Struthio camelus: one gene and its partners. The protein of the gene in region 2 binds, or shares a complex with, the protein of the main gene of each other region. Links are inferred from orthologs where the notes say so. Each region holds a gene or a part of one and is shown on either strand. Other genes may lie near its edges.

What was found.
Region 1: the proteins of PPP2R5C (region 2) and PPME1 are in contact, whole or in part, in a cryo-EM structure (PDB 7SOY), measured with the Homo sapiens proteins. The link is inferred for Struthio camelus from reciprocal best matches to the Homo sapiens genes PPP2R5C and PPME1. Residues at the interface, in NP_002710.2 of Homo sapiens: Asp180, His187, Arg188, Tyr190, Gly191, Leu194, Arg197, Ser230, Ile231, Gly234, Phe235, Ala236, Lys240, His243, Asp313, Gln341, Tyr348, Glu353, Tyr354, Glu399; in NP_057231.1 of Homo sapiens: Arg37, Lys38, Arg39, Asn192, Lys217, Val251, Glu252, Gly253, Ile254, Ile255, Glu256, Glu257, Pro345, Gln346.
Region 3: the proteins of PPP2R5C (region 2) and CRYBG1 are in contact, whole or in part, in a crystal structure (PDB 6VRO), measured with the Homo sapiens proteins. The link is inferred for Struthio camelus from reciprocal best matches to the Homo sapiens genes PPP2R5C and CRYBG1. Residues at the interface, in NP_002710.2 of Homo sapiens: Lys183, Thr184, His187, Tyr190, Gly191, Leu194, Arg197, Ala198, Arg201, Glu226, Ile227, Ser230, Ile231, Asn233, Gly234, Phe235, Ala236, Lys240, Glu242, His243, Pro265, Gln266, Tyr269; in NP_001358171.1 of Homo sapiens: Pro1136, Phe1138, Ala1139, Met1140, Pro1141, Pro1142, Ile1143, His1144, Glu1145, Asp1146, His1147, Glu1149.

What each region holds. Positions count from the first base shown.
Region 1 is NC_090942.1:223,149,919-223,158,015, reverse strand, and holds the start of PPME1 (protein phosphatase methylesterase 1), read right to left. Parts: upstream 3,092-8,097; 5' UTR 3,077-3,091; coding exon 2,961-3,076; intron 1-2,960. UniProt on the Homo sapiens protein: Demethylates proteins that have been reversibly carboxymethylated. Demethylates PPP2CB (in vitro) and PPP2CA. Binding to PPP2CA displaces the manganese ion and inactivates the enzyme.
Region 2 is NC_090946.1:71,135,463-71,143,538, forward strand, and holds the start of PPP2R5C (serine/threonine-protein phosphatase 2A 56 kDa regulatory subunit gamma isoform), read left to right. Parts: upstream 1-5,074; 5' UTR 5,075-5,181; coding exon 5,182-5,208; intron 5,209-6,928; coding exon 6,929-6,994; intron 6,995-8,076.
Region 3 is NC_090944.1:58,589,770-58,597,059, reverse strand, and holds the start of CRYBG1 (beta/gamma crystallin domain-containing protein 1), read right to left. Parts: upstream 3,017-7,290; 5' UTR 2,934-3,016; intron 1-2,933. UniProt on the Homo sapiens protein: May function as suppressor of malignant melanoma. It may exert its effects through interactions with the cytoskeleton.

The DNA of each region.
Region 1 (8,097 bases), on a different chromosome or scaffold from region 2:
CTCCTTATTCAAAGATCTATTTTCCGAGTGATAGCAGTCGAGGACCCATAACTGCACAGGTATAGTTAGGATGTACACAGTTAATGACACCAAATTCCATCAGCCTTTTAAAATGCTGCATTTCGGTGCTGTAAAACTTCTACAGCACATTACAGCTGGTTTTAGGTTTGAGTGTCCTGAATAATTTCACTTGATTAGCAAATATCATCATGCCCCTAGGGGTATCCTTTCCCCAGATAATCCATCAGTCTGGTAAACAGTGGGAATTACCCGTAACCTCCCTTTCCTTGTGAGAACGGAAAGTTTGTTCCTAACTCCTTGTTTCCTAGCAGATAACTAGTTACTAACAAGGGGATGATCCTCCTTTTTATCCATGACACCTCAGACTTAAATTTTGAAAGGATCTCAGAGGAAAAAGAGGTAAGTGGTCTTTCCTACCCATATGGAAGGGAGGCAGAACATGGGCAGTGTGAAGCAAGCTGGTGACTAATCATATTATGTAAGGTGAAGAGTTTTGGTTGTGTGACAAACTAATCCACTTTTTCGGAAAGGCGTTACAGTATGGACAGCCTCTTACACAAGGGACAGGAGAGCCAATATTCTACGGGACGCATTAACTTGTTGACTAGTGCAAGGACATTAAAGCAGTATCACGTAGATGAGGAGGTCAAAGGAACCTTCAATAGCGCAAGTTCTGGATATTCAGAATCAAAATTAAGCATAGCAAAAGACAAGAAGTGAATTCTTCACAGTTGCACACCAATGCTACAAGCCCGAGTTATAATAGCGAGGAATTGGAGCTGCTTCACTTGTTACTGAAGACCTTTGGCTCAGACAGCCTCCCTGTCACAAGTGGCAATACCTATTTCAGAGTTGCTAATAAGAAGTAGATCTTTAAGCATTCAAGACTAACGAAGGGAACATTTAGCAGAGCACTGACTAAATCACCTATCAATAACCAAGTTACGCAGGAAGTGTTCATTGACACTGCTTGAGTGAGAGGACTTTCTTTCCCAGCCCTATGTTCCTGTGACTCGGTGGCACGCTAAGCGTAGGAAACAGGAAAGCTTCAAAGACCTATGAGAGGAGTCTCATTTGGCTAATAGCAAAACACTCGCAGGTTTTTAGAAATATAGCACACAACAATTTCTTCATACAACAATGAAATACATCCAGTAGAGAGGAACTCGGCGTTGCTCCGTTTCTGACGGACGAGGAATTGATCACAGAACTAACAAGTCAAGCCACACACCTAGGAACAAAGACAGAAGCTGCGTTAATGGACCAGGGCACGCTGACCTGCGAAGCACTGATCTCTGGAAACAGGCGGTCAATTGGCTGACTACACACTCCAAAGCGCGAGCACGGTGCATGACTCACAGAATCAAAGAATCACAGAATCGTTTAGGTTGGAAGGGACCTTTGGAGATCATCTAGTCCAACCTCCCTGCTCAAGCAGGGTCACCTAGAGCATATTGCCCAGGATCACATCCAGACAGGTTTTGAATATCTCCAGCGAAGGAGACTCCACCACCTCTCTGGGCAACCTGGTCCAATGCTCCGTCACCCTCCCAGTGAAGAAGTTTTTCCTCAGGTTCAGATGGAACTTCCTGTGGTTCAGTTTCTGCCCGTTGCCTCTTGTCCTGTTGCTGGGCACCACGGAGAAGAGGCTGGCCTCATCCTCTTGACACTCCCCCTTCAGATACTTGTACACCTTGATGAGGTCCCCCCCTCAGTCTTCTCTTCTCCAGGCTGAACAGGCCCAGCTCTTGCAGTCTTTCTTCCTAGGACAGGTGCTCCAGGCCCTTCATCATCTGCGTAGCCCTCCGCTGGACTCTCTCCGGGAGCGCCATGTCTCTCTTGTCCTGGGGAGCCCAGAACTGGACCCAGCAGTCCAGATGTGGCCTCCGCAGGGCTGAGGAGAGGGGCAGGATCACCTCCCTCCACCTGCTGGCAACACTCTGCCTAATGCACCCCAGGAGACCATGGGCCTTCTTGGCCACAAGGGCACATTGCTGCCTTATGCTCAACGTGTTGTCCACCAGGACCCCCCCAGGTCCTTCTCTGCAGAGCTGCTTTCCAGCAGGTCAACCCCCAGCCTGTACTGGTGCCTGCATGGGCTTATTCCTCCCTAGGTGCAGGACCTTGCACTTGCCTTTGTTGAACTGCAGCAGGTTCCTCTCCGCCCACCTCTCCAGCCTGTCCACGTCCCTCTGAATGGCAGCACAGTCTTCTGGTGTGTTAGCCTCTCCCCCCAGTTTAGTATCATCAGCAAACTTGCTGAGGGTGCACTCTGTCCCTTCCTCCAGGTCATGGATGAATACATTGAACAAGACTGGACCCAGGACTCACCCCTGGGGGACACCACTAGCCACAGGCCTCCAACTTGACTCTGCGCCATTCACCACAACCCTCTGAGCTCGGCCATCCAGCCAGTTCTCAATCCACCTCACTGTCCACTCCTCTAACCCACACTTCCTGAGCTTACCTAGGAGGATGGGATGGGAGACAGTGTCAAAAGCCTTGCTCAAGTCCAGGGAGACAACATCCACTGCTCTGCCCTCCTCTACCCAGCCAGTCATCTCGTCATAGAAGGCTATCAGATTGGTCTAACATGATTTCCCTTTGGTGAATCCATGCTGACTCCTCCTGATCACCTTCTTGTCCTCCACATGCTTAGTGATGACCTCCAGGAGGAGCTGTTCCATCACCTTTCCCAGGATGGAGGTGAGGCTGACAGGCCTGTAGTTCCCTGGCTCCTCCTTCTTGCCCTTTTTGAAGACTGGAGGGACACTGGCTTTCTTCCAGTCCTCAGGCACCTCTCCTGATCTCCAGGACCTTTCCAAGATGATGGAGAGTGGCCTAGCGATAACATCCGCCAGCTCCCTCAGCACTCGTGGGTGCATCCCATCGGGGCCCATGGATTTGTGGATGTCAAGTTTGGACAAAAGATCTCTAACCTGATCCTCCTCAACCAAGGGAGAGTCTTCCTTTCTCCAGACTTCCTCTCTTGTCCCCAGGGTCTGGAATTCCTCAGGACTGGCCTTAGCAGTGAAGACTGAAACAAAGGCAGCATTCAATAACTCTGCCTTCTCTGTATCCTTCGTCACCAGGGCACCCGCCCCATTCAGCGGCGGGCCCACGTTTTCCCTAGTCTTCCTTTTGCTCTTGATGTATTTGAAGAAGCCCTTCTTGTTGTCCTTGACATCCCTTGCCAGATTTAATTCCAAATGGGCCTTAGCCTTCCTTGTCGCATCCCTGCACGCTCTGACAACGTCCCTGTATTCCTCCCAAGTGGCCTGGCCCCTTTTCCACATTCTGTACACTTCCTTCTTCTGCTGGAGTTTGGCCAGGAGTTCCTTGCTCATCCATGCAGGTCTCCTGCCCGCTTTGCTCGACTTCTTCCTCAGAGGGATGCACTGATCTTGAGCCTGGAGGAGGTGATGCTTGAATATTAACCAGCTCTCTTGGACCCCTCTTCCTTCTAGGGCCCTACCCCAGGAGATTCCCCTAAGTAGGTCCCTCAAGAGGCCAAAGTCAGCTCTCCTGAAGTCCAGCGTTGCAATCCTGCTTGTTGCTCTGCTCCCTCCTCGTAGGATCCTGAACTCCACCATCTCATGGTCACTGCAGCCAAGGCTGCCCCCAACCTTCACCTCTCCAACTAGACCTCCTTTGTTCGTTAGTACAAGGTCCAGCAGTGCACCTCTCCTCGTTGGTGTCTCCACCACCTGAGTCAAGAAATTATCATCAATCCTCTGCAGGAACCTCTTTGACTCTCAGACATCTAAAGGATGATCTCAAATCGCAGCACAGACTATACTATTTCCGCATAAGGCACTGGTGCCACCGTGTCTGGAATACTGTACGTACGGCTGCAGTCAATAATTCAAGGAGATAACTGAACAGGATTCAAATAATCGTGTAACTAAGGTTGGAAAACGTCATGTAGCAAAAGACCACAAGGAGCCTGATCTGTTCAAACACAATGCCAGGAGTCACTCGGGGTGACGGGTTGGGCAGGGGGGAAGTGAGTTACTTTACCTCAACTGACACTTTTTTTAGTCCATTTTTTTCCCCCTCACGTCTCTCAGGTAGATGTCCTCCTGAGATTAGATAACATGGAGACCTCGAAATCAGTCTCAAGTTTTTTAGGCTAACCCAACACAGCCCTTTCTCCTGGAAAGCAGAACCCTCCAGTTATTGGGGCTGCTGATACGCAATCACTGTAACGCAGAACAAACCTGCACTGCTAGTGAAGACGACATCGCCTTCCTTCCCCGTTCCTCCAGATTTAACTGCTCCCTATGAACAGGTCCAGCTGAAAATTAAAATAGTTTTCAACTAGATCTGTTCTCTCTCTGGCTACCTGCGAGGCCACCCAAACACGATACAACAGAGAAGATGGAAATGAGCAGCAGGATGCTAGGAGGGAGATTGCTCCTTTTAGCAGATGTATAAATCCACGCAGGATGCGTGTGACCAGGTAACCACAGGCTGAAGCTCCTCAAGCCACTGCTGACTGAAATGCTTCAACTTTGCTCCGTTTTTTAAGAGCCATTCCTAAGCAAGAGTGAAAGCAGACTGGTCAATTTTCCAGCTTGCTAGCTAGGAGAAAAACCGAACAGGAAATAAAACCGAAAAAACAAGCGCACAAGCAAAAGGCTTAGGAATATTTTATAGCTCCTTCCACCACTGCTTCTGGCAGCAGAGGTCCACTGCAAAGCCCGCTGCTACAACTCTCAAACAGTAGGCAGTCAGAGGCTGATAAAAAGACAGATCCTTGAAGAAGGGCAAGGAAGAGCACTGCGCTAGGAACCCATGGGATCAGAGCTGAGCCCTTTCCTGGGACCTTGGCACACTCTACTTCTTGTCACACTGATCGATTTAGAAGCATTAGTAAATACCTCAAAAATCCAGCTTTATAAGAGCTAACAACTCCAGAGAAAATGTTAGCAGTTTTTTGTCAGATATATGAAATATCAGAGAACAAAAAATACCCGAACTCCTACGTCTGCAGGGGAATTAGAGCAGAACGCGAAGAGGACCTGGGAGTTAGAAACCGTTGTCACCTCTGATGCAGATATTTGCAGATCGCAATTTAAAGTGAAACGTTTGCTTCCAAACGATGCTTGGGAGAATCTAAGTGACCTCCGATTACATACTGAGCCCCTAAAAGAGTAAGAATAAACATGTAGTTTCCTACAAAATTCTGGTGACGGCGTGAGGCTAAGCAACGGCTGATTTTAAAGAAATACTGGGGTCTGAACCACATAGAGCGATCACAGCACAGTACTAAAGATAACGCCCTAGAGCATGATTCAGTTTTCTTCTGAAGAAGAAGAAGAAAAAAAGAGTATCTTCAATTCATTATTCTTCTAGAGCTTCTTTTTCAGTGATACATCAACACACATTCAAAATTAGAAGCAAGCCCAGTAAACAGCAGCTGTGATTTTGCACCTTCCTATGCTGAAGCAACATTTTGCTGACCAAATATTTAAACTGACAGAACTAATTACTGCTTTTTAAAGTATCCGGCAGACCAAAACAGAAATGGATCCAACATACTAAGTTTTCTAGAACGATCTTGCAACTCAAATCCAGCCAACTACCGTATTAAACTAAAATCACAAAACACATTCTGGGCACTCTCTACAGCTAATTTGATCCTATTGTGCAGCTTGTCCTCTTCACCGCGTCATGAAAACGTGCACATGCTGCGAGCGATTCCAGAGCAACAGGAGCCCACGTGGATGGATTTAAATAAAAACCATTTTGCTCACCAACTTTCAGTGGGGCTTTCTTTCAGTTATTTTCCTAAAGGAAAGTTGCACCAAACACAGAGAACCTTGGTTTTGGGTTTTTTTTTTTCGCTGACCTAGAGAACCTATTTACAACTATTTAAGCAGTTACAGAACTTAACATATGTGATTCAAGAGAGTTAATTCTCGCATCATATTTCAACCTGACCAGCAAGGCCTATCAAATATAATCTAGTATGTAAGAACTGCTATGTCTGGCAAGTTGTATTTCAAAAGTCTAAAATTTGACCAAAAACATTATTTTAAAGTCTACCTTAAAGATGCCAAATACATTAACTTTTTCTTGATAAATCAGGAAAAACTGATTAAAAAGAGAGACATTAGCTGTCATCATTGAATTAAACAGACGAAATCCCATTGTGCCCTTTCAGATGATGAAAAGTTGTTCGGACATCTTGCACAATTTTTACTCATATTGGAACAGAAAAGGAAATTCTTCCTTATTTTCAACTCTCAGTAAGCTAGCTCTATATGCAAACTAATGAAAAACTTAAAATATATGAAGGTCTGCACCGGCAGAAGTCGTTACAGCTGTCAGGGGCTGTTTCCAGCCCTTGGCCCTTCTGCTTACCTAGTGATTTTATAAACTCCATTATTTGATTTTCTCAAAGAATTCTGATCATAGAGTAGGACTTTATTTCCCTTTCATCTGAGTGATTCAGATTAAGGCCTTAATATATGCGGTCCGTTCGAAATGCAATTGTAGGCAGATTTGCTCCTTACAACAAAAAAATGGACTCTTAAAAATGAACTTTAAGCTCCCCTCACTCGTGTGATTTTCTTGTACAGCAGGAGCCAAAGAGAGGCACCATCTTCCTTTAAAAAATGTCTTTCGATAACATTGTTCTATTCAGTTGAGCAATTCAGAGAGCGCTTAAACACAAATAAAGGCAGGAGAGTGCTAAGCTAGCAGAAGAGGGTACTTCTGCAACAGTGCACGCGCACGTGCGTGTTCGCAGATGGGAGCGGGGCATAATTTAGGGGAAGCCAGGTAGCAGAAATCAATGCAGTGTGCTGTGAAATATGAAGAAACTCAAGCGTACATCTTGTAGTACTGCAAAAGCCTGTTAAAACAATGTTGCAGCAGCCATTTTAACTATTCAGCCCTCTGTTTTTATTTAAATATTAATACCAGTGTGACACCCAAATCAAAGATTCAATATCCCTACTGCCTCCCTGGGCATATTTATTTTTTTTGAATATGTGAATTTGAGTATTTTTTGAATACGGAATATTTGCACTTTCACGACTACTGTTGTGTTGACACACAACTGTAAATACGGAAGAGTCCGCAGAGGCGAGCTGAGTGAAGATTCGCCGTGACGGAGCAGAGCGGAATTCAGCCCCTGTGACGTTCTCATGGGGGCAGCACAGTTATTTGGCCACTTGGACTTCTCAAATAAGACTTTCCAGTAAAGCAGTATAAGGGAGTGATCACACTGGAAAACAGCTAAACTGGAAATGGGAGGGGAAAAAAAAAGAAAAAGAAAAGCCTAATTCTCACCTATTTGAATGCTGTAGCAGGTGACATTTTATTAGGAACTACTGAAATACACATTAACCTCTGGAACAACATATTAGCAAAAGACATTAAAATTTTATTTCGCTTAAGAAACCCTCAATATAAATGGCAAGAAGCTTCCTCTAAGACTGGATAATCTCAAAGTAAGTTTGAAAACGATGTCGTGAAGAAAGCGTCCTGCCACTCTAAGTCGTCCTTCCAGTCAAGGATGACTGAAGCTTGAGAAATCTCAGCGCTGCACTGAATTATTTTTCGGTTTGCCTAGAGCAACGTCCCTTGCTCCACCCTCTGCTTCTTACGATCTCCTTGCAACCGCACAGCACAGAGTCACATCTGACACAGCCTGCCTGGTTGATTAACAACAACAAAAGCGCTCCACACACTCCAGCCAGAGGACTGCTGGGTACCAAGCAAAGCAGTAAGCTGTGGAAAAATCAACTTGTCAGCACTGCTGGATATTAAGTCGAAACACATTTTAATGGACCTGCTCCCACGTCGAGAGATTCATTAGGGCCCAGAAATCAAACAGGTTTATAAATATAAGACGCTTAAAACAGTAAACAAATATTTCATTAAATTCCTACTTCGATTCTTTTTGCTCCCAGTAAAAGCTGGATTTATTTTAAATGACTATTTCAGTATAGCCAAGTACATTTGCCAGCACTGTTTGTAGGTCACACTCCTCTTTTCTTCTGTAGAGCTAATCACATTCTCTGTTGCTGAGCTGCGTATAGAATCTTGCACTTACTTGGACAG
Region 2 (8,076 bases):
GAAGACATACAAGGTTAACCTGAACAATATTTTTAAACAACTTACAGTTGCTGCTTTGCTTTTTCAGTTGTTTATTTTAAAAGAGTGATTTTTGACTAGTTTTTCAAGCTTGTTTGCCAGTGTTTTACATTAGAACTAACTGTGAGGCTTTCAGAGCCCTGAGTGCACTGATAGTCTTAATTGCCCTGACCTCCTCAGTCTTCTACCCACACACCCCCGACCCAGGAGCTGCATTCAGGCTCAGGCCTGGGCATCCAGACCTAGCCCGAGCTATGTTGTAGGTGTATCTGTGCCCGGCTGTGTCTCCCTCTGGCCTGACTTGATGACTGGGCTTTCTAGATGGACTGCTGATGTATGTTGTAGGCAGTCTTCTCTCTGGCTCAGTCTCCTGGATGGATATTAGACCTATGTCAGCAGTAGACCTCTCTCTGGCTCTCAATTCTAGTTAATCATCTTTCCGTTCTTCAGCCCTGTCTCCTGTTGTTCCTGACTGGACTTCCTGGATGGGCTCCCTGACTTGTGGCCTTGCCTTGTCTGAGGCTGTTGACGGAACCTGACACTATTGCCACCCCAGCCCTGCTCAGGCACCGTGGGACGGCACTGTGGGTGATAACACCCTCCCTGTGCTGCAGTCACCCTCCGCTCCCGGCTCGTTGTTTCTCGTGGAGCAGGCCCCCTCTTGCTGCTCCCTGATAGAGAGGTCTAACGTGAGACGACTTCTGTTTTTGCCAATAAACTTCTGGGAGGTGAAAAGGGGGCTTAACATAAGCTTTCCCTACTTACCTGAAAGAATGAGAGTTCTGAACTTTTAACAGAAGTGGAAAATATTCTAATAATTGTTTCCTATAGTGCTATGATTGTTTGAATAACTAACGGCTAATGCTATTCACTAAACTCAAAATAAAATCTTGCCTTTTTCGAAATTTAAAAGAGGCAAGAAAGAATGAAAAGTTTTCAAAAGAGATAATGCAAAGAAATGTGTATTTCAATGCAAATATAATCTCATCCTCACTTCCAGATATTCACTGGAAATTCCTCGAGCTGAGATTCTGATAGCATAATTAACCATACGTGAGAGGTTTTTTCATTTTTGACCAGTCCAAATTTTACAGAAATTATACTCAGTGAGAAGATGTACAGTACTGACACTACTACATTTACATATGATTACATCAGTTAATTATGGTTTTGGATGTGCATCTCTGGTTCTATGTAAGTGACGTCAATAACTACCATTTGTAACTGCAGTCACACATAGGGCTGAAATATTATGTCGCATACATACGTGTTCTGAAATTTGACCTGTTACTCATTACCTCAAAAGAGTCTGACTTTTATACAGCTGTGAATAAAATATTTTTTAACCCTTACAACACAGCAGATCATAACAGTGGGACATCTAATGCTAATGGATATTAACAGAATTGAAAAGAATTAAAACCTAGCTATTTAGATTGAGACCAGCCAAGGAATTATTTAACGTAATTCAGGGTAGGCAGAATAAATCCATGCTAGCTGAGAAGGTTTCTGAAAGACGTTTAAGTTTTTGGTGAAGCTGAATATACTTGCTTTGCAGTTCTTGATGCTAGGTTGCATAGAAGCAGAGCGTATTGCAGGCATTCAAGCCTGATGAAGTAGTTTATTATCCCAGATAGCTCCTTAAGACATAATTTCGCAGTTTCACTACTCCTGATAGGAAGGTTATCTTACTTAGCAGTGCAGCCTGAAAACAAGCCTGGAAAAATTTTTTATATTTCAACCCATCTATTTCAGCCTCTCTTTTTACTGCCAGTGGTGTGTGAATTTTCAGTTCTCTCTTTACATCTGTCACAGAGTGCCAGAAAATGGAAAAGATCTGCTTCAGTCAATAGGGAGAAAGAAGTACCTTGAAAAACAGCCTGCCAATATTTGACAGTTCTATACAATGATGACAGTTCATTGGCTTCTCAAACCTTGTCCACAAGTACAGTTGCATAGTTTCGGTTGAGCCAAATTAACAGCTTGATGGCAAAGGGTCTCATTGTCTCCCATCTTCCCTGCTCAGTCAGTTTTCTGCCATTTTAGCAAGTTGAATTAGCATACCACGCAATCAAACCAAGATGGTGCATGGAAAGCAGTAAAAGCATAAAACTGGGACTGGGAGAGGCAGACTGCGAACAAGGCATCTCTTCACAGTGATAGTGATCTGCTCAGTCAACTCAGGCCAGACCATGAATGATCAGGCTTTGCACGGGAATCAAAAAATATTTATCTATATATTTATATATATCCAAAAAGGTTGGAAAGGGCTAAATATGTAAATATCCCCCCTTCACTGGCTCACTGGGCATTTGGCCCAGTTTCAAACTATTATTCACCTGCTTCATGTATAACTGAAGCTATTTAGCTGTTTTAACATTTGCAAGGTTAGACAATTTAATCAATACAGTAAGAAATGCAAAATGTTAGCTATACTGCATGCACTAGTTTGAAAGGATTTAGAAAGTTGGACAGTAGGCACAACATTTTTAATTACAGAGACAGCCTAATCAGTCTGAAACTGTTCTGATTTCTGGAAACATCTAGTTTGCATGAAGCACGTTCAGAAGTTAATACAAATATTAATATAGTCATATTCACACTCCCATTACATCATCTTATTTTCCTACTCTGTAACACAATAATTAGGCCCACAGTGATGTAACACCGTAGTAAAAATAAAATTTCATCGCTGCATAAAACGGTATGTCACTTCTCTTGTCCTCATAGTTCATGAAGCCATTAGAGCATACAGATGGAACAATTTTTCTTGCAAACCACCTCCACCCACTGATTATTTGATATACTAGAGCAGGCCTTGGAAAATACAATTGCTTTCTGTTACTGGTGAATGAGAGTCTTTCCCTAGCAAGTGAGGTGAGGGGGAGTCAAGTTTTCACAAGAGTCTCTACATCTGTGGTCACAAAGAAAACCTCCCAAATGTTAACTGAGTCAGTGCCATCTTTTGAACCTGTATTCAGTCTAATGCACGGATTCAGTGTTTTCCCAACTACCAGCAAAACAGACAATTTTTGCTGCTGCTATTCAGGAGTAGGTGGGTAACAACGATACTGACACAGTGTTTCTATTATTTGGAAAAACTATGGGCACTAGGAAGCATAAAGGAGGCCAAGAGCCAATGAGAAACTCATTAAGCAGCTTAAACTGATCTAAATCTAGTCTGTTGAGGTCACATCCCTCCCCCGCCACACATTTCCACCCGCTTCCTTCGGCCATTGCTAGTGTTTACAAAAGCAGGTGGTGTGCCAGTTCAAGGCAAAAAACACATCACTTTGGTGGGATAGTTTTCAGCCAGATCAACTCTGTGAACTGGTTTAGGGGCACAGCACTAGCAACAGCGCAAAGGAGGGAGGTGGGAACACAACCGCTTGGAATTAAGAACAGTTTAAGTTTGTGTGAAACTATAACCTAATAAAGAACTGGAAGTTCTGGAGTTTATCCTCAGCTATATGAATCCTTTCATACGCTGATCAAACTCCAGCTTAAAAGAGGGCTGGATTGCTTTGCCTTACTATTTCTGAGTATGTTCCTAACCCACATTCCTCTTTCTGGGTTGGTCAGAAGTCTTATTTATAATGAGTAGAAATTCACTGATGACCGATTCCTAACAGAAGCACAATAGTGATAGTGGCACCTCCATTCTAAATCCTCTAACCAGAGAAGATTAGGGAAAGGCTAAGAGGCAGACATAATTTGTTTTCTAGCACATAAGAGGCGGGGAGGGGACTGAAGCAAGAGGAAGCAACTCCCCGTAGTCAGAAGACTTCTTTGCAGTGCTTGGATAAGGGAAAATTTCTTCGCCTTGTGACCACAGCAAAAGCAAAGTGTTCCCCTACGACACATACAAGCTGATGCTAGCTATCATCACATCAGACAGGAACAGTTATTAGAAATCCCAGTTCCTGAGAAATGAGACCTCAGCTGCTCACTGGTGCTGGCTTTTATACTCACCGGGTGGGAAAGAAAGGAAGTCAATTTTTTAATGCTAGTATTTAATAGGCACCTGTAATTTCTTCATCCTTTAGTAGTGCAGCATAGTTAAAGCTTAATAAACGTATTTAATATACATTTTAGATGTTTTATGTCTTGGGTTACAATTCCCTATGCTTTTTTCCTCAGTTTAATAGTAACTTGGGGCTTGGTCAGGCTACATGATAAATGCAATTTGTAAACGTTCCTGATAAAGTGTCATACCTGTCTTCTTTTGTGTCAGAAGACTATTCCGATTTTTGCATTGCTGCTCGGAAAGGTTAAAGAGTGGCTTGTTTTAACACTAACCTCTGGCCAAAGGTGGGCATAATTGAAAAGAAAACATATGCACCTAAGCATTAAAAAAAGGGGCGGGGACAAAGATACTATTACAAAATCAGGCTGCATCTATGTAAAGCTCACCTTTTCCTTATCCACATACTGCAAGCACACCCTGAAGTCCTCAGACTGATGATGACCAGACTGGGTGTGTACGACAGGGACAGCACGCTTCGTATACGCCCTATATTAACTTTCTCTTCCTTAAACACTTGCCGCCCTGCGGCGAGAGGCTCCCGGACCGGTCGGACCCTCCCGCTACCGGCCTCCAGGGGAGGCCGAGCTCCCGGGGGGCAGCTCAGCCTCGGCGCCCGGCCACCTCCCGCGGGGCCCCGCCGGCCGCGAGAGCCCGCCGAAGGCCCGGGGCGCTGAGGCGCCGCCTCAGCCCTCCGCCCTCCTCCGAGAGGCGGCGGGATCCAGAGGAGCGGCTCTGCCCTGGGGGCTCTGCGGAGCGAAGACAGCCCCGAGCCCCGGCTCTGCTGCTGCCGCTGCTGCCCCCGCCGCCGCCGCCGCCCCCGGCCGGTCCCCGTCGCCGCCGCCGCCGCCGCCGCCCCGCTCGGAGCGTGACAGGAGGGGGGAGGGGCGGGAAGCAACAGAGAAGCCCGCCCACAGGGTGACGCCATGGGAGCCTCGCCTCACGTGACCGGGGCAGCCAATGGGGAGGCGGCGTCCCGGCTCCTGCGGGCGGGGGGGTAGGGGGCGGAGGAGGAAGGGGGTGGGGGGAGGCCGAGGCCGCGGCCGTCGCCGAGGCGGGCGGGGGGGGGGGGAGCGGCAGCGCGGAGCGGGACCGCCGGAGGTTGCGCCTCTCCGGCCGCGGCGCCGAACCGAGCGGCCATGCCGAATAAAAACAAGAAGGAGAAAGTGAGTCGGCGGCGGGGGCGCGCGCGGGGAGGCCGGGCGGGTCGGGCCCCGCGGGGAGGCTGTGGGGTGCAGGCCCCGCCGGGAGGGGCCTGGGGCAGGGCCCTGAGGGGGGCTGGGGCGGGTCGGGTCGGGCCAGGGGCAGCCCCCCCCCACCGTTGTACGCAGGCGGTCCCCTTCCTTTCCTCTGAGTGGGGGCTGAGGTGACTCCTTGGGGGGGGGGGGGGCTGGGGCCTGGCCCCGGGGAGGCTGTGGCGGGCTGGCATCGCCCTGCCCCGCTCCGGGGGTTTCACCCCCCTCTGCTCCCCGCCGGAATGGGGCGCGGAGCCCCCGCGGGCGAGGCCGCGGCGCCGGGGGCGGGGTGGGCGAGGGGTTGAGGGAGTTGATGGAGGGCGGTCGTGGGTCTGTTGTGTGGCGGAGGGCTGGGGGGGGGGGTCACGCAGTTGGACAAGGCGCCTGGAGGAAGAGTGAGTTGGAGAGGGTGTCTCTTAATTTGGGACCAGCCCGAGTCTCTCGTGGCGGAGGAAGGGGTGGTTTTGAGGGAGGCAGGATAAACGTTTGGGGGGGGGGGGGGGATTCCTGGGAGAGCCACCTCTCCAGCCCTCGTCCCGGGAAGTTTCACTGGCGCGTTGCTTTGACTGCAGTTGAAGTTGTGCCTGGAGAATCACCGTAAGCACTCAGCAAGCGTTAATCAGCGCTTGAAATCTTTTCATCTGCTCCTCCTGCCAATGGAAGATGGATGTTGTTTTGGCCTCGCTTTGCCTCAGTTTCCCCTATGCATCTGGGAGGGATTTGTTTGGCAGCCGTAAAAGGGGCTAGCACAAGTAACGAACGTTAGCAGAAAAGTTTTAAGTCCAATATAAAGTCAACGGGATTGCACTTTATTTTGTGTGATAGGCAATTAGCTGTCACGGGAATGAGTGCACATCAGAAGCAGTGAAGTATAAGTCTGCATGGTCCTGCTGCTATCCCACCAGACCTTTTTATGTTTGTTTGACTTCTATCTGCTTTCTAGTTTTTCAACATCACTTTAAAATTAGGTGTAGGAAGATTGGGCGGATTTTGCGTTTCTATTTTCTTTTTTTTTTTTTTTTTTTACTTTTTCCTAACATCCTTGTCTCTTTGATGTTGAAGAACCTCAACACTTATTTCTCTTCTGAGAATAACAGAAGTAGCTCAAAAATATGCAATGGGTGAAGGATGTAACTTAAGTGCAATGCTGGGAAAGAGAATTTGGGGTGCAGACCTACTTCACATACTAGAGTTTTTAGCCCCATTATAGTTACTTGGAGGAAACACCTAGAAGAGACAAGATAATGAAGTGTAAAATGTGTACTGCACTGATGCTTGTTTCAAAGCTAAATATAACTACTCCCGAGGCCAAAAAGCAAAGACAGCAAGGCTCAGTTCTTAGGCATGGCTGAAATCATTTGCATTCTTTGCCCCTGCTTGTTTACCTATATACAAGCCTCTCTTTAAACACGTTATAAGTGGGTTTTGAGGAATAAATACAATGTAAGAAATTTTCTTGAAGGTGAAAAATGTTAAAAGCAACTTTGTAGAGACTGCTTTTTCAGTATTAAGTTTTTTTTCAGTGAAACAATATAATTCTCATCTCACCATTTTTAACGTTCTTAGCAAGTAGCTAAAAAACTGAATTCTTGATGTGAAAGTCTATCTAAATCTTTACAAAATAACTGAGGCTGCAAACTTCATTTTTTAGGAACCTGCAAAATCAGGCAAGAGTGGAAAAAGTGGTAAAGATGGACAAGATAACCAAGAACATGAGGTAAATATTACTAAAACGTGTAGTTTTTCCAGGCAAATGTGTGATGACTTTTGAAGAGCATATTAAGTTTGTCTAGATTGTTATAATTTTGATGTGATAGATGGCTGTAAGTAAAGTGGTTATAGAACTTCTGGTGAAGTATTTGACAAAAAATATTTTAAGACTGGAGAAAATGCTTTTGAGGAAGTTGAATTTTATTTAGAGCAACTTAGACTAAAGCGAACATGCAAAATATTTCTCAGATATTTTTCTGTTTTCTTTTTCGTTCTGAGGTGTGTATCTATCTTATTTTCTAGTCTCATCATGAGGTTTTGGACTTGTCTTTTAGTTGCTTATCACGTTTTTTTTATCATTCTTCATAATTCCCGGAGCTCTCTTCTCTTAAAATCATGATGTGAGCATGTCAGTTAAGTGTCAGTATCCTGTTCCATATTGTCTCAGGAGACCTTAGGCTTAATTAAAGGCCGCCAACTTATTTCTGTTGTGTGATTTCTTTTTATAGGTGTATATACTGGAGTGTTCCATTTTTGACTGATTATTCTGTTGTTGCTGCTGCTACTTTTTTCAAACTTTTACATTGCTTTCTGCTTTGCTCGCTAGCAAGGTGCAGTGAATTCAAAGAGGTCGATTAAATTGTGGCTTACTCGCTTTCCCGTGTTAATCTGGAAAACCAGAGTTAATGGTTTTGCTTCATTTGGAAATCTACAGGGTTCAAGTGGATTCTGGAATTTCCTGTAAAGTGTTAATACCAACCTATATGTAAAATGCAGTGCTGAAAAGTTTGTGCAAAAATACATTTGAAAACCATATTCTTATCCAAAATTACCACTTCCCCTCCCCTAAATGACTATAAGAAAAAAAAGAATTTTTGTGTTTGCTCTGTAGTGTGTGTATTCTTTCTGATGCACTTCATTGAGTTTGTTTATTTCTTGTGCAGAAAGATGCATGTTACAGTATGTTAATGAAATCATTAGATTTTGTGAACTTTAGTATCTTGGCAAATTCAGGTAAAACAATGATTGAATTTTGGTGGAGGGAACTGGTATTCTAGCGACAGGGAAAGCCCTTAGAAAGAAATCGGA
Region 3 (7,290 bases), on a different chromosome or scaffold from region 2:
TCTTTTTTGACGGCGATTACATTGACACATTTCAGGCAACAATCTAGCTACTGTGATTTGTGGCTCAGCCAATTCATAACTGGACTGTAGTAACTTGCCCGGTCTTGAGCCTTCAAGTACCCAAAGCTCCCAATTCATAGTGTAGTACACTGTGGGAAAAACTGCTAAACGCTCACACCCCAAAGATATACAATTTCCTTCGTTGCCCTGTAGCCAAGTTCCTGCTTCAAAGTTCAAATCAAAGTCATCATCTCCCTTTGTAAAGCCGCCGATGGGTGCAGATTATTCAATGTCCAAGACATGACAACTCTGTAGGGATGGAACTTCCAAAGGACCAAGTAAAATTTGGTATCTTAGGACGGTGCAGTTTTCTAAGACACTGTGACACCATCTTTCCTTTGATTTTTTTTCTTTCGCTGCAGCTTCTTCTGTTTAAAGGCTCCAGTCTGCATCGCTTATCTGTGGAAAAGAGACTCTAGGAACTTTTGCGGGAGAAAGGGTCCAGTGGAGTTCATCTGGCTTTCCTGATTTAACCTCAGACACCCAAGAACAAAGGTAGTACAACACAAACACTTCGCTGAGGACAAGAGTGCACACTTGCAGCCTCAAGTTTAAAGGAGCTGTGCTGCTTCTTTGGTATTTTAGATGATGATGGTGACACATTTTTTATGCTATATTGGCCACTGCTCTTCAAGATGAGTAATCTAACAGCAATGAAAAGTTTTGCCTACCTAAAAAAAAAAAATAATAGCATAAGAACAGCAAAACAGCTACTGAGATATTTTGTTTTTAAACTGGACTATCATTTAAATAGGTATCTTCAAAAAGCCAGCTTTCATGCTAGCTGTGTGCCAAACTATGTCTCTCTCATAGCAAAATGCGACTATTTATTAAGCACCCCAAATTTTGAAAATCATTGCTGTTTAAAGTATACTTTTGTACGGTCTACACAGCATTCTTCTGATCATGTCTCATGGCCCATCATTTAGCCTACTAAAAATAAAATACTTCAAACAATATATTTTGAGAAAAAATACCATAATCCTCAACCTTAAAAAATTGCACTGAATTTTTCAGGCTGTGCATTAAAGGCTTTGTTCATTCCATTTAAAACAAACACACACGATGGTAGAAAGCTACACGAACAAGAACGTTTGTGCTGTCCTAAGATGACCAATTGTGGTTAATGATGTTAACATAAATGTGTATTTCTATGTGCTGAAGGCACATATTGTATCAATACTAGAAGGTTTAGTTCCCTGAACAGAAAGCAAAAAACCCTGTGTTTTCAAACAAATTACAAAGCTATCAATTCAAAAGCCTTGCAGGTATTAGGTTTCATTTATATTTTATGTACAGAACTTGGTAACTTTATGCAGCAAAAACATCCTCCAATTATTTCAAGCCCCAAATCCCACACAGTGTTTCTGCTTTGGTTTGGCGCAGTAGACGGAGCAAGGTATCTGGAAGAAAACGGAACTAGCAATAGAGGAAGAACTTAACCTCCATTTCTCAGCATTCGTTTAGCACATCTAGAATATTCCATTCAGTTTTGGGCCCCTTCAACAGAAAACAAACATTGATAAACTGGGGTGACCCAGCTGTTCGAGGGCAGCAGCTTGGTCAAACCTGAGGGAAGAGATGGCTTCGGGGGGCTCACAGCAGCCCCCGGCACCTTTGCAGGGCGTAACCAAGAAGATCCAAGAGGCTCTTCAGCAGTGCATGACAAGGCATAAGGGCAGAAATTGAAACAAGAGATGGTCCTCTTTCACACAAGGAGAAACCTTCTCACGAGAGGATGATCAGGCAGGGAGCAAGTTGCTCAGAGAGGCTACGCAGTCTTCATTCCTGGAAGTTTTCAAAACCCAACTCGATAAAGCCTGAGTAACCTGGTGAGATCTCAGACCTGACCCTGCTCTGAGTACAAGGCTGGACTAGAGCCCAGCTGGGGTCCCTTCCAGCCTAAACTACGCTGTAATCCTATGACAATTACAGAGCACTATGCTTCCTGTTCCATCTGTTTTTTGGAAAGCAGAAGAGGGGAAGCCGTTTCTGTTCCTGGTGGAGGTCACCTGCAGCATTACCTACTCAATACCACTGTAAAACACACCATTTCCTGGTTCAATAGCTCTGAAAAGCAGACTTCGTATTACTTTTCCTACTCATGAGTAAGCATGAGCTCACATGGGTTTCTATATGAGATGTTGCTGTCAAAAGTTTTCAACAGTACATTCCGATACCAAACACAAGCTTCGCTAGACTGTAGTTCAGCAGTCAAGCAAGCCCTGTATGACTGTCATACAGCCCCACTCTTATCGAACATAACACACTTCTCAATCCGGACCACGCAGAGATCACTAATTTACAACGAGTCTTCTTCAATCCAGGCAGCGCTGACACCCTCTCCTTGCCCGGGTCTCAGACCCGAGCAGTATCGTGTTGAATCAGTCCTTGCTGCAGCCTCACGTTTGCCACAGCCTGCCGAGAACTGCCTCCAGGTGCAGAGGCTCTGCCGCCCAGCCGCCTGCAGCCAGCCTCCCTGAGCCGCCCCGGGCTGCCAGCAGCGCTCGGCGACCTCCCGCCCCCTCCACGGGCGCCTTGTAAGGCAGCGTGCGTGACATGGGCACCGCTCACGGGCAGCTTTGAAGCGCGCTGGGGAGCAACAGATAGCGAAGGTGCTGGAGCAAAGTGCCACCGAGACCTTTTCCCTTTTCGCCCTTCTTTCGCGCATCCCGGGAAAACGAGCGCGGAGCAAGTCCGCTGCCGCGGAAGAGTAAAGGCTCTTACTAGAGGCCAGCTACGCTTCCTGAGCGCGCTTGGGGCCGCGGAGGCTCCGCCTGCTCAGGGCGGCTGTTACCGCCGGCGCGGCCGCGGGACCCCCGGGCATCGCCCCCCGCTCCCCGCCTCCCTCCGCCGTCGGGGCTCGCTCTTACCGCAGCGCGGGGCCGAGGGCGGCGGCGGGCGGCGGGGGCCAGGCGGGTCCGCCGCCCCCTCCTCGGGGCTGCTGCTGCTGCTCCTTCTTGCCGGGCCGCCAGCGGGGCAGCGCCGGGCGCCGCTTGGGCGGGTGGCGGCGGGCGGCAGCGGCGCCCTCCGCCTCCGAGTCGTCCGACTCGCTGCGGCCAAAGAGCCGCTCGAGGCGGCCCCGCCGGGCCCGGGCCATGCCGGGCTGGGAGCCGCGGCGGGCGGCGGCGGTGACGGGCGGCGGCGGGGCCCGGCAGCAGCCCGGGCAGCGCGGCGCGCCCGGCGGCCTCCGAGGCTCCGCGGGCATGGACGGGGCGGTTGCCTCCCGCCTCGGTGTATATGCGTTTAATAAGACGATTCCTTCCCTCCCTTCCCACCGCCGGCCGCGTCGGTCCCTCCCCGCGGAGGAAGCAGCGCCGGGCCAGGCTCCCCCGCCGCTCGCACAGGAAGGGAGCGGCTCGCGTGCTCGCCGTGCCCAGGGTGCAAATTAGGAGCCCATTAGCTTGTTGTTGTTTTCTGCTAACCCTCAGGTGTGCCCGGGGCCCCGTGCCGCTTGTGCACGCCGCGCGAAGAGCCAGCGCGCCCGCCCGCAGCGGGACGGCGAGCGCCGCCGACGGCGGCAGCGGAGCCGCCGCGCCCGCGGGCCCCGGCCCGCCTCGGAGGTCGGGACGGCCGTCGGGGGGCTCGGAAAGACCTAACGGGACAGGTCGCGTCCCGTCCTGCGGCGACAGCCCCGACCTGGCGGTGCCGGCACCCCGCAGCGCCTGTAGCCATCTGCCCTCACATGACCCAGACCTGAGGTCTTCTACAGCTGTGCTTGCTGAGGGTGTTTTACAGTGAAGGACACCCTCCGTCCGGCCTCGTAATCTCACAGGCACACACTTGTCTCGTGTGACCAGTGTCTAAAGTTTCTCGGTTTTTTTTCATTTGTTTTGATCTTGCGTGTTACTGATTGGATACCGAGGTTATGATTCTCTGCAAAAAACTCTAAAATGAGACTATAGAAAATGTATTAAAAGTCTGTGTGCTGGGAAAACTTGAAATTCACTGTTAAGAAATGGCCATAATGAGCCTATAATCGATAAATACACTACCTAAATTGAGAGGGATATAAATTAATGCTGAGGTTTTTAGCGGACAGAGATAGGATGTGAAGACAAGGCATGGGAAGACAAAATACACAAGGGGTTTGGCTCAGCAGCTCAGCCCTACCTATACTAGTGTTTTACCCAAAGCAATTTGTAGACCGGTTTTAGGTCTGCAAATTCAGATTCAGTTATTTTCCTGAGTTATGTTTAATTTATTTGGCTAGTGATTAACTAAACAGACTAACCTACAAAGAAAGTGATTTTTCCCAAAATTAAAATAGGTGATGTTGCTATATAATACATGTGACAGGCATATGACAAAATTGGACACAACAGAAAAGGCAGAGGGTTGTGCCCTCAGGAAACACATAAGGATTGAAGAATTGTCCATTTCAATGGAGCAATTTATATAGGCACAAAGATCACAGATCGCACTTGAAGCAGGAAGGGACCTATGGGTTTGTCAAGTCCAACCCCCCTGCTCAAAGCGAGGTCAGCTAGAACAGGGTGCTCAGGAAAGTGTCCATCTGGGTTTTGAGTATCTCCTAGAATGGAGACAGACTTGATGACAGATAACGTGCTGTCCTTGGTGGATGGGTAGGAACAGAGTGGTAGATCCTGTTTCCTATATCTGGATAAGATTTTTGAGCACTGACTCAACACTAGAAGATCCTAATAGCTACCTCCCTCCTCTTAAAATAATTCTTTTTTCCATTTCCTTGACAAGAGATTCACAGCTGGCATAACCACGGCATTTTATGACGTTCTCCTGTGCACCACTGGACGAGCCAGATAAAAGTATTACTAAATATTCATACCACATTTCCATTTAGGCACCAGTTAGAATCAGAGTCCTATTGTGCCAAAGGGGTACATATTAAATGTGTTGATGAGCCATTTCAGCCAAAAAGCACCGAGGAGAAAAAAGTGTGGACCACTGTTGTCCCAATTTGTCCTCTCTGTTATGGTGCCCCAGTATACCTGCTCCACTAGGAGAGGGAAGAGTTAGGGTGATCTGCTCTGGTAGCCAGCCTGCAGACACGCATGTGCCGATCAGCCCACTAGCCGGGGGGCCCACAAGAGACAAAAAGATCTATATGGCCTGAAGACCTGTAGTGTAAATTGCAGAGCAAGGAAAAAGAGGAATGCAAAGCGTGCATCTCTTCAAAACATTTCAGATTTTTCAGAGTGACCTGCATCAACATTAGGCTCTTGTTGTTCCCACCCTAGAAATGTGCAGTTAAATATCTCTCTGGAGTGACAATTAAATATAACAAATAAGCCTGCAACATTAACTTTGAGATATCCAGCATTTGTGCTTCACTGCTAACGTAAACTAGAATATCCTAATACATGCAAATAGGTGAAGGGGATTTGGTTGATAATATTTGTTCAAGCTTTAGCCAAAATTAAGGTCTAGGTGTTAAATAAGGCAATATAAAAACAACACGTGATCTCAATCCAAACAGATTTGTGGAGGCTCAGTGCTTGTAGTCGTACTTGTTCCTAGGCTTATTTAGAAGATGTAGATCTTTTCTTTTAAGAAAGGCATTTTTAAGACCATTAGATAAACGCAGAAATTCATTAGAATTAGCCAGTCATTTAGGAAACTTTAAATGATGGTCAGGTTTATGTCAGCCGTCCTGACACATGTAACAGAACAAGTCAGTCTAGCTTTTATCTGAACCAAATGAGTTTTGCAACAGTTCGTAGCAATTCATATCATAGAAAAATGTTATGCAACAAATGATCCTTCTCCTGTTTGGTTTCATTCCAGCGTGATGAAAAAGAAGATGATTGGATGTTCCCAAATTTCTAGATTAGACTCGATCATTTTCAGTATTATCCACCTAGCTTGTCTGCACAGTATATGTGAGATTTACCAAAAAAAAAAAAAAGCATAATTATTTTGGAATTATGATGAGAATCATCAGACAACTGCAGACTCAAAAGCTCCAAAATTGTTACAGAAACTAAATAGCACCAAGGTGAGCACGATGTATTCAAATTGTTGTTCCTCCCTTTTTAATATATTTCAAAACAGAAACACTATTCTAACACAAAAGTGTTCCATTATGACACTATATTTGAGGAAAAACATTCTAGAGCTCATAAGCAAATTATAGGAAAAGCACCATTTTGTTTGTAAAGTATACATTTCAGGTACTACTAGGAACGGATTACCACCAGCTCTGTCACTAAATACTTTATCTTCTCCGCTAATACAGCAGAGGTTTGAAAATTTTTCCAAAATCAGTATATGAAAGCTTACATTTAAGATTCAGCTACTCCACTGTCAGAATATATGAAGAATGCCTTTGAATTCCCACATTGTGAAGCCAGTGATAAAAGAGCAATAAAGTATACAGGGGCCAGAATCCTGCCTGTGTCCCACATTAAACATGCAAGCCCCAAAGTGTGGTCCTGAAATCCCACATTCATTTGACATCTCACCTTAAGGGCACCTAAATTCCAGAGGTGCCTCCCTGTTTGTCTTGCAAGTGCCCCAGGTACCCAGGGATTCACCTCTTCACATGCCCAGAACTGCCTCAGCCTTGACAGGACTGTGAGTTTGGTGCGTGGTTCTTGCCTAAGTCTGACAAAGAGCTAAAAACAAGGTATTCCTTGGCCTAAAGCTCCACAGGGGCTCCCAGCGGTCAGCATAGTGAGGTCTTGTTCAACACACATTGTAAAATCAGGGTTGGTGCACAATGCAATGATGGCTGTTATTCTTTTCCAAGAGTTCGCTGCCTATTTAGCACTTGACGTAGAAATAGTGGCAGAAAGAGTGGCCTTCATTCGGGAATATCCTACTTCAGAAGGGAACATTCAACTTCACAGTCCTGTTAGCACTGGTGTTTTCTTTCTGACCCAACGTGGTTAGAGATTTAAGTGGCTACATGTAAAATGAAAGAGAGTGAGTCCTGCTCCGTGCCCTGAAAGAAAAGGCATAGTTATGTATCCCTAGTATTCTCAGACATGGCAGGATGTGGATGCTCGTTCCTGGTGAGTATAGACAGCATGGAATCAAAAATGTAAAATGCTACTGAATATAGTGACCGGAGAAAGCCAAGGCTAAGAACTAGAATAGCTCAGGAACATGCTAAGCCAGAACTGCAGAAGCCAAGAGACCCGTAAAACAAACAACAGGACAAAACTCATAAATGTCAGCAAGTCCACGTCACAGGGAAGGGAATTTGGGAAAATTGCTAGCAGAGATTGAATGAGACAAGGACTAGGG